Callithrix jacchus: one gene and its partner. The protein of the gene in region 1 interacts with the protein of each later gene in a pairwise test. Links are inferred from orthologs where the notes say so. Each region holds a gene or a part of one and is shown on either strand. Other genes may lie near its edges.

Region 1 (6,806 bases):
GACTTAGTTGGCAAAAGGTTTCAATTGGTCAAAGAAAAAAGAAAAAAAATTTAAAGCATTGTGAGGGAAGAGCATGAGAAAAGCATGGGAGTAACAGTGAGTTCCTTCAGGGAAGACCGTCAACCTGCAGAGGCGGGAGCAAAGACACAGGGCAGCAAAACAAGCCTAAGATGGGGTCATGTAAAGGGGAGAGTCTCCGAATATCTAAGAACTGAGACATGGGTAGCACTGACAGGCAGGGAAGAGGGAAGGGCTAGGAAGCATTTTGGGAAGGGAAGGGTTTTAGGAAGATAGTATTGGGGATCAATGAAGGATGGCTCAGAATAGAAGAGAGAACTCATAAAAGAGTTTAATAGTACGAGCAAGGCTGAAACAGGAGAATCGTTTGAACCAGGGAGGTGGAGATTGCTGTGAGCCAAGATCGCGCCATTGCACTCCAGCCTGGGCAACAAGAGTGAAAGTCCATCTCAAAATAAATAATTAAATTAAATAGTATGAGAAAGGAAGAATGAGGCTTTGAACTAGTGCAGCCTCAGTGGGAATTTAAAGAAAGACATTTAAGGACCATTGCAGAGGTGAAACTTGCCTGGTGATAACTGGATGGGAAGGATAACGGACTCAGAAGAGTCCAAGATGATAGCAAAGTTCCTACCCTAAGTGGTAACATGCAGCATTAATGTTGACAGGAAAACTTCTAGTTTCATGTTCATACCAATTAATAAATGGTTTCTGGGGAACACTGTAGCAACAAGTTCTCTACTTGTGACTTCTATTTAAATAACTTTGTATAGATCATCCTCAAGTTGCTCGAAAAGGTTATTTTCAAACTATTTTCCCAGTTTATTTAACACATCTCAGTTAGTATGGAAGAGTGACATATGAACATGTATTTTCACAAGGTTATTAAAAAGAATACCTTGCTTCCCTAAAAGTAATTGCATTGTTTCCTAAATTATATACATCTACATGAAGAAGAGGTCATTGTCCAATGACTATTTGCCAATGTGCTGTACGACAGCAGGTAATTCCCAATTCACAATGCGTTAATAATCTGCTGACTTTCCCATTCTGTTATACATCTGAACCATCTCTTATGATTGCAAATTGTCATGTAAAACCATTACTAGTCAATGATAATTTTGTAAGTGAATATGCAGTAAAACACCAGTGTATTACAGCAGGAAACAAAAGAGACACTTAGTAGTTACACTTGCCTACTTCCTATTTATCTAAAACTGTTGAAACAACACAAGTATAAAAGACATCCAGAAATGATTTATGGACTTCCTGCCTTTCACCATAGATTCGCTGCTGATGTCCTGAAAACTGAAAATAAAATCTTCATTAAAACCCATTTCTGCCTAGTGTTCCATTGTTGGAATTCTAAGCTTGTGGGAATCATGTATATCCTACTGTTCAAAGGTCATAGCAGGGTCTGATTTTTTCACACACAAAAAAATTTTGCAACCTCCTGCATAAATAGGTTAATGTGTTAGTAAAGTATCAATTATATACATAAGATGCACATTTCTAGGTAAAATTTCCAATTTACCTTTTCCTATTCTAAATAACTCCCACAAAACTATTCATGAATCCTAAAAACACATTTACCAATTATGTTAAATCTGGAACAATACATTCAAAGTGAAAATGGTGAGTAATTTAAAATGTATAACTAAAATGTCTTTCCATACATTCAGAAAGAAGCAGACTGTCTTCTATTATGCACGTGTTGTATTTTATAATCTATTATGTTACCAAATAGAACAAACCTTTACAAATTCCTCACGTAGCAGCTTCATTGTTCTCAGCCTCTCTCTCCTCAGACTTCTATGTCGGTACCACCTCTTCTGTTGTTCTTGAAATATTTTCTAGAATTACAAAACAAAATAGTGATAAAAATTGGGCAAATTTTAATACTTGCAAAACAATTCTGCATTAACTTTAAAGGAATACTCTTTAAATCAATATTTCTGAACACTTTCTTTTAGACAACATTTAGGACGAATTTTAAACAATTGTGTTCACCAATCACATGCTAAAATGATGTAATAACCTTTTTTATCTGTCATTGAGTAAAAAATTTTCTTTCTTATACATATTCAACACATGTCCTAATTCTTGATTTCAAATGAAGAATATTTGATGAACCTTCCTATAATTTATTGACCATAGATAGTTAAGATCTATACAGAAATTAAGAAACATTCTTTCTAAGATTTTAAACATGTATTAAATTTTGGTCATTTCAATATGCACATAGATGAACCATCCAATAATGACTGCCTTTCTAAACCTTGACCTAGTCTCCAACTACAGTGTTCTTCTCTCCTCTACGTGACACTCACTCACACAGTCATCCCCCTAGATTTTGTCATTACCAATGACTTCAACACCTACATATTATTAATAATAGCAACGATGAAGAGCAACGATGGGTCAGATCACATCCTGAAAAATTTAAATAAACCTGTTACATAGAAACCCTTTAATCCTCCAAACAACTCTTAGGTAGGTACTCTTACCATGTCTCCTTTAGTAGATAAGGAAACTGAAGCACAGAGATAAATAATTTGCCCATGATTTCCGAGCTAGCAATAGTCAAACTGGAGTCGGATCCCAAGCAGTGTGGCTGCAGACTCTCAGCCCTTGACCACCAAATTCAGCTATTTCTCCATCTTCCCAACATACAGCCACTACCTCCCTGCCATTGTGGGTCACTCACTTCAGTAATACAGTTCAAAAGTCTGTTGGGACCTGACACCCACTGAGTGGAGTACTTTTCACTGACCATTGCCCACCCCCATGTGCTCAGGCAACTCAGTCCCAGCTGAAATTCCACAGCCAGTCATCACAACCTCATCCCTGTATCTATGCCCTGCCCAACTCTCCCTAGATCAACATGCTCAGCTACACTCCAACCCAGGAAATTCCAACCCTACAGGAGCTCTTACACAAATATGCCAATTGGGCTGGCTTTAACTTCTTAATTGCTATGACACTGACCTCAGTTGGACCCCTAACGCTGCATGGCAATTAAATTCCCCTAGTCCATGAGTCCACTAATGGGTCCCCCTCTCTGGGCTCATGCTCTCTTCCTTCTTTGCTGGATGTCTGCATGAATTAATACTACCTGAGACATTGATACAATAGGTTAATCATAAATCTAAGCCTGATACCAACAATTAGTTCTTCTTCTTCTTTCTCTTCTTCTTCTTCATCTTTCTGCTCGTATATGATGAATTCATCAAGGACATTCAGCAACTTCAGAGAATGTTTATAATCACGTTTATGCCTGTAACACATAGTAAGTAACATGGTCATATGTCATAAAGAGATGAAAAATTAATCCTATTCAAACCAAAACTGACTTGACATAATTTATACTGTAAAGTAGCAAGGGAGTAATAGCAGCTGAAATCTTGTTTGGGGGGAAAGGTGAAATGAGTTATTCTTATTATGAAGGGATTCCTTCCTAACTGACTACTAGAGCAGCTGTCTTACATTCTTTATGTGCCAAAGACAAAGGAGGGTTTACTGCACTATAAATCTCTCAGAAATAATCATTTTCTCTAAGAGCAGTTTACTTTCATTTCCTCTTACTGAACAACATATGGGTTCTCATAAGTCGGTTCAAGAATATCACAGCCATTCATCCTGTAAGATTTCCCAAAAGAAATACTTCACTTAACTACATCTCTACTTTGGCACAATGATTTTGTAAAATAAATAGTGAAAACAATTTAACTAAAATAGATAACTTATTTATAACAAGTTTATCCCTCTCTACATAATTGAGTATCGTTAAGGATCTGCAGACTAAACATTGAGGACATTTATCTTTTATTCAACTTCCATACTTCTATAAATGGATAAAAATTAATTTTACAGGCAAACTCTTTTTATCTAGAAAGCAAAAAGAGGTCATCTTCATTGGCTTCTAGGTAATATCTTTCAATTCTGTTAAACCGAGGTTATAGAACTAAAGAAACTTACTTAGGGAGCAGTCAAGTAAAATATGTTGTTCACTAGAGACGAAAATATGTACAGGATAATTTTTGAAATTATTTGCACCAACGAATACAAAGAAATAATATAAATATCATTATGCAAAAAAAGCCAACATACTTTTTAAGTTGTTTTTTCCTCAAAGCACGTTTACTTTTCTTTGCTTTGTGGCGAGCCTCTGTATCCATTTCAATCCTTCTTCTTTTTGCAGCAAGATCCTCGCTAATGCCAGCTAGTTAGTAAATGAAAATGCACTAAAAGTTAATGTTGACAATTAGTTTATTTGCATATATTGACATCAATATCGGACAATATGGTTCAGCAATATCAGAAGGATATTTAAAATATATAAAGCAAAGATCATTTCAAAAAGCAAGATTTACTCACTTATTTTCTGTAAAATCTTTCAGGTGTTAATATTACTATTGCAATTCCAATTGGTATAACTGCAAATCACTTAATTGACAGATGATGAAAAAGCAAGTAATTAAAAGTTTCTATTGTTTAAGTGTGCAGAAAAGTTTATAAGCATAGACTTTAATTTCTACATTTATAAAATGTCCTACAATTCAAGGGACATGGTTCCATGAAATACTATCAAAACTCATTATGTAAAGCACACAAAAAAGTATCTTATTTAATAAGACCATCAAAAGGGTAGAAATAAGTTAATATGCAATAAGAAAAGTATTTTTAAGCAATCTACTGATTTATGCTATTAACTGTATTTTAATAAAAGAAGCAAAAAGAAGCAACATCCATGGGTATAAAAATGTAGGTTTATATAAAGAAATACATTCAGAAACACTTTTGAAATACTTTCTTGGAGTTTTTATATGATATTTTTATCCATAGTGCTGTGTTTCAGAAAACTGTAATACTGCAAGGAATGCTTTCCTAAACACGATTTTGCATAAGAGATCTACCATCAAGTACTAAGAATAGTTTTCAGCAATCATAAAAGATCTGCACCATAATACAAATATTTTTCAAATACAGTATCAATCTATAACACACTCAATGTATTAGGCAACTCACAAAACCAGCACTTTGTCACCACCAAGCGAGCAAAGCTTTCCAAATATTCTGCTTATGTGTATTATCGCTATAGAAAAGCTGAAAACTGAATTGAGCTTTTTAAAAATAAGAGTATTGTCTCCATCATCTCTACAGAAATTTTCTCAAACTTTTTTGAAAATACGGTCCTATAACAGTCAGTGCAACTAACATGTAACATGCCTATACAAAATGTATGAGTTTTTGGATCCAATGACATGTTTCCCACTGGGTAGAAAAGTTGTCTTTCCTTTTCTACTACACAGTTTATTGCTGGAATAATAATAGAAAATCATTTTCGAGAATTCAATTTTTTTAAACAAAATCAGAAAGCTGTGACAATAGAATAGCTGAATTAGAAAGATGAAAAACTCCTATTAAACACTCTGAGTACATAGGGACAGGAAGAGGAGAACAACAGACACCTGGGCCTACTTGAGGGTGGCAGGCAGGAGGAGAGTGAGGATGAAAACCACCCAGCAGGTACTATGCTTATAATCCTGGGTGACAAAATAATCTGTACACCAAACCCCTGTGACACGCAATGTATCTAACAAACCTGTACATGTACCCTCAAACCTAAAGTAAAAGATTGAAAAAAAAACTGATATATGACTTAATCTGTGTACACTGAAAGGATTGAATAGAGCTGTTTCTCCTCCAATGTCCTCTAATATCCCCCAACAATTAACTTTCCATGTGTATGAAAGAAAAGCCATCCCTCTCGATTCACCATTGTTAGAAGCATTCTTACATTACACATTAATGATCACAAAGGTAAGAAAAATTTATCAAACAGATTATGGTAAATACTTAAGTTAAATGCTACATATGAGAAGAAGGCATGTAAGACAGTCTGTCATCCACTAATTCACATAACCTACTGTAACAGTTGTACCGTTGAAAACAATTTTCATAAACTACAGATACTTCCTAAGGCATACCTGCAATATCTTCTGGCTTGTTGGTATCAACCCTATAAAAAAAAAAGTTACATCAAAATTTTAACATAGGACTACACAAAATGTCGTGTTTGTTGGGAAAAAATGTCTTATGTGAAATGTTCTGCATAGACTAGAACGGTGATGACATGATCCAAAGCTGACTTTTCCTAAAAGGCTCTATCCGACAGACAACAGTGACTTCACACTTTACCCCTCATATTCATCTGTTTCATCAAGAGGTTCTCTTTCCCCCTGCTCAGCAGTTACATCTTCCTCCTTTGTTTCTGTAAAAGGGTTTCTTTCCTCACGTTCATCAATTACTGGATCCTTTCCTGCATCAAAATTTAAAAGACAAATCCGTTTTTAGAGGAAGACGCTGTTGTGGACATTTTTCATGGAGAAACGTACCGTTTGTGGACTTGTTTTTGGCTGTCTGCCAACTAAAGCTTTAAAGCAGGGCTATACGTGGAATCACCGGCTCCTGACCATTTAATGGAGGCACTTTTGGAAGCCCTTGGGGTTCAAGTCCCAGTAAACGACACACTACAGGTCAGACTCCTTGGACGCCAGGACCTCAGCCATGGAGAAGAGCTACTCTGAGAGCACCTGTAACCCTGCCTGAGGTGGAGCCTCCCGTGGGAAGTCTAAGGCCCTCGAGCCTGCTTTGAAAACCGGGATGTCTTAGCACGTGCACAGTGGACTCCAAAGCCATGAAGAGGCCGGGGACCTTGGGTTGCCAGTGTGATCCCCAGCAGAGATCAGACAGACGTCTCCTTGGGCGTGCGCCTGCTTCCGGGT
Region 2 (7,843 bases), on another chromosome or scaffold:
CAGGATTGAGATAAACACTTAATGAACTTCCTGGTAGTTATTAAGAAGCTAGTAGGAGTGCCAAACTGTCCCCAAGCTGCAAAATAAGCCACTTTTACCTTGCCAGATTAAGTGTTTAATTATACAAAATGCAGGAATGCTGCCTGCTACCCACTTAGAAGTATCTGCCAAATTCCCCCCCCAAATTTATATTCAAGTATTTAATCAGAACTATTCTCATTTAAATTTAGTACTACTTACTGCTGACTGCACTTGTGACACTACCTTGCTAATTTTATTGGTTCTATTTAAGGGAACCAATTATTCCTACAGCTGTATGCCTCTTCTCTAAAGACCACACCCTGAAAAGAAGAAAAAGTGTGAGGCTATCCAGAGTATTAACCACACACTCCTTGAATCAAATAAAATGATACTACACTATTGAATTCCACAAGACACAACTTAGCATTTGTTAGGCAAGAAGGGATGTGTTTTCATTGTACAGAAACAAGATACAAAATCAAACTAATGCAGACTAACAATCTAGTATTTACAATAATCCAAGAATCGTGATATTTAAAATAAAATTCATGTTTGTCAAGTTTTCTGAGCAGGAAAACTAGAAACTGTAACCATTTTTAAATAAAGTAATCAAATTAAAGATTATTTCAGGGTTCAACTGCTGAACCCACCTTCTTACAAAAAAAGTTAGCACTAAAGAAACTGCTAATGGGCCGGGCGCGGTGGCTCACACCTGTAATCCCAACACTTTGGGAGGCTGGGGCAGGTGGATCCCGCGGTCAAGAGACTGAGACCATCCTGGCCAACGTGGTGAAACCCCAGCTAGCTTCGACTGAAAGGGACACAATCTCCAAGCACACAACGGCACCAAATCCAGAGGACACTCACATTTGTACACGGCCTAGGCTAAGAGCTTGGTATATAAAAACAGTAAAAATGTGTTGCCTTCCCCTTCAAGCAAAAAACAACTACTAACAAGAGCAAAACAATAAACAGTGGTACCCCCACACCACAGTAATACTCGCCAATCAAAAGGCAATGAACTATGCACATCTGCAATGCAAACTCGATGGGTAAATCTTATCATAGTAACTGGAAGAAGCCAGACACAAAAGGCTACGAGGACTAGACGGTTCTATTTAGGAAATAATGGAGAAGAAAAAAACAGCAATCAAATCAGTGACTGTTAGGGCTGGAGTGGAGGTGACAGATTTAATCTACTTGTTAGTTAAAAAAAAAAATCAAAGTATACATCCAAAAAGGGTGATTTTACTGTATGTAAACTACACGCCAAGAAACCTTATATTTTTAAATAAAGTATTATTTCAAAATTCCCTTTTTGGACAAAACCAAGAGCCATTCTAAAGAGAATGTTCAAGACCCTCAAGCACGGATGGATGATGCTGAAACAGTTTACTCATTCATAATTTAAGAAACAGCTATAGAGAAATCAAACTTAACCACTGGGCACTATTTAACCATGTTGCCCTTTTTTCAGTATGGTTGGACTACTACTTTAATAGTTCCTCATTCCCTCAAGTAAGTGTTCCTTTTCACCACTTTGTAACCAGTTCTCAAATTACTGTCCCAAAAAAGTGTAGTCTTCTCAAAAAAAATCTCACCGTAAGAGCTATTTTTCCTACAGAATGCTGTGGCCATTTGCACATTCTTATGCAAAAACAGTAACTTGAGAGTCAAGAAGCAGCTTCATAGCCTGTTCCAATCTATACTGGTATTTTTTAAAAGCACAAAAGTCCTTTACTGTTCTGAGCAGCTCTTAAAATGTAGCCTATTCCAACCTACATTGATATTTTTAAAATGCACAAAATTCCATTACTGTTCTGAGCAGCTCTTAAAAAGTCTGAAAGCATTTTAATTTAATCACATTTTTCTTAATATTAACAAAGTCAAACCTTTTTCCTAAAAAACCTTGCCATTACTCGGATCACCTGAGGTCGGGAGTTCAAGACCAGACTGACCAATATGGTGAAACCCCGTCTTTAAGAAAAACAAAAACAAAAAAAACAACCTTGCCATTCCTGCTGAGCAGTCTAGGAAAGAAAACAACAACAAACAAACAAACAAACAAAAAACCTTGCCAAAAAATTCAACCCCAAATTTCCCAATCTAATCAGTAAGGCACAAAATGTAAACCCACCGTTACCATGAGAGCACAAAGGCCAAGAAGGTTTACCAACACATCTTCATGTCATCACAAAGCGGGGAATTAACTCCAGAAAGGCACCCTCATAAAACACAAACCGATGGACAAAACTCTCATCAAAGCTCCTGCCGGCAACTTATACCCAAATATAGGATCGTTTTGACAGAAAACACTTGATGGAATTGCTAGAGAAAAGCACTCATGCACGTCCAATTAGCAAGCTTTCAAGCACTTCAACGCCATCAGACTGCCACACTCTCAAATGCCTAACTCAAGAATCTTCTCTATAAAGTTCGCCCCATCTCCAACTGTGGTACAAAAAACATCAACTCTTCTCTCAGTCTTTTCCAGAGGGAAGAAAGGCTTCAAGTTCAAGGCCTCTCAACCCGGGCACTACTGACTTTACGGGTAGCACAATTCTTCGCTGAGGCGGTAGTGGGGGGCTTGGGCACTGCAGGACCTTTAGCAGCCTCTATCTACTGGGTGCCAACAGCAGTCCCCTCTCGGAGAAGACAACCAAAAATGTCCCCAGGCGTTGCCATCTGTGGGGGGGGGGGAGGTGTCAAAATCGCCTCCGGATCTAGCTAGAGCACCGCCGGGATTCTCAAGTTGCAACGTATTCAAGATTAGCAGCTGGGTTGGGGAGCAGAAAACACACTTGGAACGCAGGGCAGACACCCTGACGCAGGCGGCCCTTCCCTGAATCGGCAATGCAGCAAGGTTATCTTTACCTTTGTAGAGGTTGGTGACGGCGGTGGCTGCGTTTTGGAAGGGGACCCAGAGAGAAAGTCCTGGCTGCTGACACACTCGGTCTGAAAAGCAAGCCCAAAAAAAAAAAAGAAAGAAAGAAAGAAAAAAACACACACATAGAAAGAGAAAGAAACAGAAAAAGAATGTTATTTGGGCGTCAATCATTCCAAAACGGCCATATTAGGTTTCGCCATTTTGTTCAAGGGTTTCGGGATCCCAAACCCAGTGGAAAAACGGAGGGTAGGGGCGATCGAGGCGGAGAGAAAGGGAAGCCGTAGGGCTCAGGGGCGCAGATCAGGGACGATCGGCGGCGCAGGGAGGCGCCCCCCCTCGGAGTCCCCGCCCCGAGGCCGGCTCGGGGCACAATGGGGCCGCCCCGCCGTCTCCCTTCGCCATTTTGTGACCGGGGGCTCCTCCCCTCCCCCTGCCGGGCCGAGGGGAACACCCGGCGGCCGGACCCGGAGAGCGGGGTCCTAGGACGGCACCAAAGCGGGACTCCCCCGACGCCGGCCCCGGCCTGCCCCCGGCCGCGCCTGCCCCCCAACCCTGGACCTCCCTCCCGCGGCGCCATCTTTCGAGGAGGGGGCGACTGGGCCGCGGCGCCACCGGCCAGGATCCCTGAGGCCGCCGCCGTCGCAGCCCCCAGAAGCGGCCGCTGAGCCTACAAGGCCCGGCCCAGGTGGGGGCGGCCAGGCGGCACCAAGATGGCGGCGGCGGCCTCACCTTTGTAGAGCTGAGCGACGGCGGTGGCCGAGTTCTGGAAGAGGTGCCACAGCTTCTGCTGCTTGTGTTCGGGCTGCGCGGCGGCCGCTGCCTCCTCCTGCAGCTCGGGTGGCAGCTGCTCGTCCTGCTCGGCCTCGGCCAGGCACTGCCGCTCCCACTTGGAGAACCAGTGCTCGGGCCCGTGCTCTTGGATCTCGGCCTCGCCCTCCTCCTTCCGCTCCTCCATCCTCCGCGGCCTCCCGCGGCCTCTCCGCCGCCGCCGCCGCGTCCTTCTCAGGTGGGGCCCCCGCGGGAGCGTCGTCGTCGAACGGCCCGGCGACAGGGCCTGGCGGCCGACAGCGCCTTCTCCTTGCACCGACCCAGGCCTCCAGTACCCCGACGGCCGGCTAGCCCCGCCCCGCTGCCCAGCGCAACCAGGGACGACCCCCGCCCCAGGCCTTCCCACCCCCGGGCCCGACCGAAGGTCGCCCCGGACCAGATGACCGCTGCCGCCCCTCGCCTCGCCCTCCGGAGCCGATCTAACGCTCCCTCATGGCGCAGCGGCCTCCCCAATGCCGCTGCCGCTGACCGCCGAGCCCTCCACGCAGTCCAGCCTGCGCCGCCGAGCCCACCCCAAAGACTGAACGACGTCGTCGCCGCCGCCGCCGCCAACGACGCCTCTGCGGCTGCTGGTCCCCGCCCTCCCCCGCCCACAAGCTATCTTGAGAAGCGCCGCCCACTGGGCCTGAGCTCCCCAGCCTGGTTGGGGCGCGGCCGTTCCAAGGGCCCCTATTGGTCGGATGTGACCGGTTCCGCGTGCCGGCTTCTGAAAACAGCGTCGTGATTGCTTGGTTTCTCGTACTGTCTGCCTGAAGTAACCAATGGGCTGGGGGAAGGGAGTAAATGTCAGGAAGGATGAAGAGGGAGGGGGAAGAGCTAGCAGTGGTGGCATCCGAGCCAAGTTGGGGGCGGGGTGGGGGGTGGGGTTGTGGAATCGAGAGCATGCGCATGCGCACTTGCTCGCTACCCGCGAGCTCTGGGCAGACCAGTGAGGATCACGTGACAAAACCCATCAACCGCACCCCACGGGAGCTTTTCCGGCGTTTACAGGCCCTGGGGTATGCGAAATCAAGTGCGGCAGCTGTGCCGTGGACTTGGAGAGGTGTGGTGGGTGGCTGCGTGCTTACTCCAGCACCTGGGACTCCCAAAGGGAGGAGGGAAGTAGAGAAAGTGAATAAAACCCCCAACTCCGAGTTTGCAAAGAGTTTTTCTATTCTTTTGAGTACCCCAACTCTTTATTTTGAGACGGCGGTCTCGCTACATTGTCAAGGCTGGTCTGGACTCCTGGCCTCAAGCGATCCTCTCGCCTCGGCCTCCCAAGGCGCTGGGATTTAGAGGCTTGAGCCATCGCGCCCGGCACAGAGTCTCATTTCTTAAATGGGCAAATCGAGTGTCAGAGCCAAAGAAAGGCTTACGAATTGGGAAGTCGGCTCAGCGGCCCCTGCGCCCTGACCCCCCCCTCCCGGGACATTGCGCTTTGGGTGGACATGACCTCGACGACCACCTTGCCGCCCGCAGAGCCGAGGATAACCCGACGGGCGAGGCTGCGGAGGGCCCGCACACATCTTCGTCTTCGCGCTCCCGGTGGCCCCCGCACCTGTCCCGAAAAGCACACTCCCTGGCCACGTGCACGCCCGGCGTCACGCACCAGCCCCTGCCTCCCCCTGCCGGAACCCGCGGGGCGGCGGCTACCCCGCAGGGCGGGATCTCTGGGCGCCCCTGCGGCTGCGCGCCCCCTTCCCCTGCTGGAGCTTCCCCGGGATCTGGCGCCCGGGAGAAGGCAGCCACGCAGGCAGGTGGTGACCGCACAGAGGCAAAACCCACCATCCCGACCTACACTCCCACGGCTGGCACCAGCTGGCCTGGAGCCGCGGAGGGGGCCGGCCAGGGGCAGCGTCGTTTCAAATCAGCAAGGCAGATTTGAAAATCTCCCCCACCCCACCGTGGCCTGCAAACTCCGTGGCTCTGGCGCCTCTCACACAAAACCTTAGCCGGCTCATGCCCTGCCCCCCAACCTGACACACACACACACACACACACACACACACACACACTTGCCTTATTTCTCTGGGACACCAGGCTCTTTCCTGCCCCGGTCTGCTCTCTGGAAACTTTTCCTCCTCTTTCCTCAGATAGCTCCCGTTTAGGAAGCCTACTAGGACAAGCCTAAAGTAGCACCCACCACACTCTTTCCTATTGTTTGGTAATATTTTTTAATAGCATCAGTCACTATCTAAAATGCTATATTAGGCCGGGCGCGGTGGCTAAAAACATAGTTCCAATTGCAGGGAAGAATATAAAGTGAAAAGCAAACAAAAGTCATTCTACCTACCTCATTCTACATCCTCCCAATCCTATTCCCAAGAAATAATTTGTTACCTTTCAAAATGGAGTTACGTGTACGTCAAGTGTGTATGTATGTGTGTACCTCTATATGGGTATGTCCCTTTTTAAGGAAAAAAAGGTGATTTTATGTATACTGTCCTACAAACCTTTTTCCCTTAACATAATTTGGATGTCTCCACATTGGGACCTAAAGGCTTATTTATTTTTAAAATATTGCAAAGAATTTTATTGTATGGATTCCCTACAAAGTATTTAACAGGGACCCTATTAATACAGATTTAAGTTATGACCAATCTTTGGCTATTATAAGCAATGCCGTAATGAACATCTTATACATACATACTGCAGTGAACAGCCTTGCATGTATACATATGTGTATGCAAACATATATCCTCAGAAATAGTATTTTAGAGTCACAAAGTATATGAGTTAAATATTTTATGAGGCTAGGTGTGGTGGCTCACACCTATAATCTCAGTAATTTGGGAGGCCAAGGCAAGGGGATTGCTTGAACTCAAGAATTCAAGACCAGCCTGGGCAGCGTGGTGAAACCCTGTATCTACTAAAAAATACAAAACTTAGCTAGGCATGGTGGTACGCACCTGTAGTTCCAGCTACTCAGTAGGCTGAGGTGGGAGGATCACTTGAGCCCAGAAGGCGTAGGTTGCAGTGAGCTGAGATCGTGCCACTGCACTCCAGCCTGGGTGACAGAGTGAGACCCCATCTTGATCAGTCAGTCAATAAAACTACCTGCTGAAGTGTAGGACCAATGGTTGTTGATATGTCAATTTCTACATTTCTGCATTCTGCAGTAGCAGGTGAGAAGTCCAGGCCTGTCCATGTAGGTATGACAAAGGAAAGAACAACACAACTGGATCATTTTGCTGCCTCCAGGCCCTGTTTCAAAAGCCACACACCGCTTTGGACAGTCCAGCCTGGGTTTCAAGTTTTTAAAAAATTAAGGCTGCTCTCATTCTCCTTCATGTAATTCAGATACTGTTCCAGAAGCTTCTGACCTTTTCTTGTGACAACATAATATTTCAGCCATAGATAGATACAAAAAGGAATGATACTGAATTGCATAAATGCTGGATCTATAATAAATGTTTGTTAGCAAAGACCCTCTAAAGAAAAAGGAACGAATATTGAAAAGTATCACCTATCTCCTGGATTTCCATGACTCTGAGCTTTATTTTAACCTCTAAGAGTTTCTTTTTATTGTTGTTTTGAGACAAAGTTTCACTCTGTCTCCCAGGCTGGAGTGCCTTGGCAGGATCTCAGCTCACTGCAACCTCCACCTCATGTGTTCAAGCCATTCTGCCTCAGCCTCCTGAGTAGCTGAGACCAGAGGTGTGCACCGCCATACCCAGATAAGTTTTTGTATTTTCTGTAGAGACAGTTTTGCAATGTTGTCCAGGTTGATCTCCAATTCCTGGGTCAAGCAATCTTCCCACCTCAGCCTCCCGGGTAACTGGGACTACAGGCACATGCTACCATGCCTGGCTAATTGTTGTATTTTTTTTTCTATTTATTTATTTATTTTTTGAGACAGGGTTTCACCATGGTCTGGATCTCTTGACCTCATGATCCGCCTGCCTCGGCCTCCAAAAGTGCTGGGGTTACAGGCGTGAGCCACCGCGCCCGGCCCTAATTGTGTTTTTTTGTAAAGACGGGGTTTTTGGCCGGGCGCAGTGGCTCAAGCCTGTAATCCCAGCACTTTGGGAGGCTGAGGCAGGTGGATCATGAGATCAAAAGATCGAGACCATCCTGGTCAACATGGCGAAACCCCGTCTCTACTAAAAATATAAAAAATTAGCACGG

The links. The genes of interacting proteins can lie anywhere in the genome.
Region 2: the proteins of FAM9B (region 1) and HAPSTR1 interact in binary tests that used the Homo sapiens proteins (3 or more experiments, as listed by UniProt). The link is inferred for Callithrix jacchus from reciprocal best matches to the Homo sapiens genes FAM9B and HAPSTR1.

The regions. Positions count from the first base shown.
Region 1 is NC_133524.1:9,242,198-9,249,003, forward strand, and holds part of FAM9B (protein FAM9B), read right to left. Parts: intron 6,341-6,806; coding exon 6,220-6,340; intron 6,041-6,219; coding exon 6,009-6,040; intron 4,241-6,008; coding exon 4,129-4,240; intron 3,296-4,128; coding exon 3,184-3,295; intron 1,872-3,183; coding exon 1,773-1,871; intron 1-1,772. UniProt on the Homo sapiens protein: May play a role in meiosis.
Region 2 is NC_133513.1:11,322,152-11,329,994, forward strand, and holds the start of HAPSTR1 (HUWE1-associated protein modifying stress responses 1), read right to left. Parts: upstream 4,263-7,843; 5' UTR 3,864-4,262; coding exon 3,638-3,863; intron 2,977-3,637; coding exon 2,896-2,976; intron 1-2,895. UniProt on the Homo sapiens protein: Acts as a central player within a network of stress response pathways promoting cellular adaptability. The E3 ligase HUWE1 assists HAPSTR1 in controlling stress signaling and in turn, HUWE1 feeds back to promote the degradation of HAPSTR1.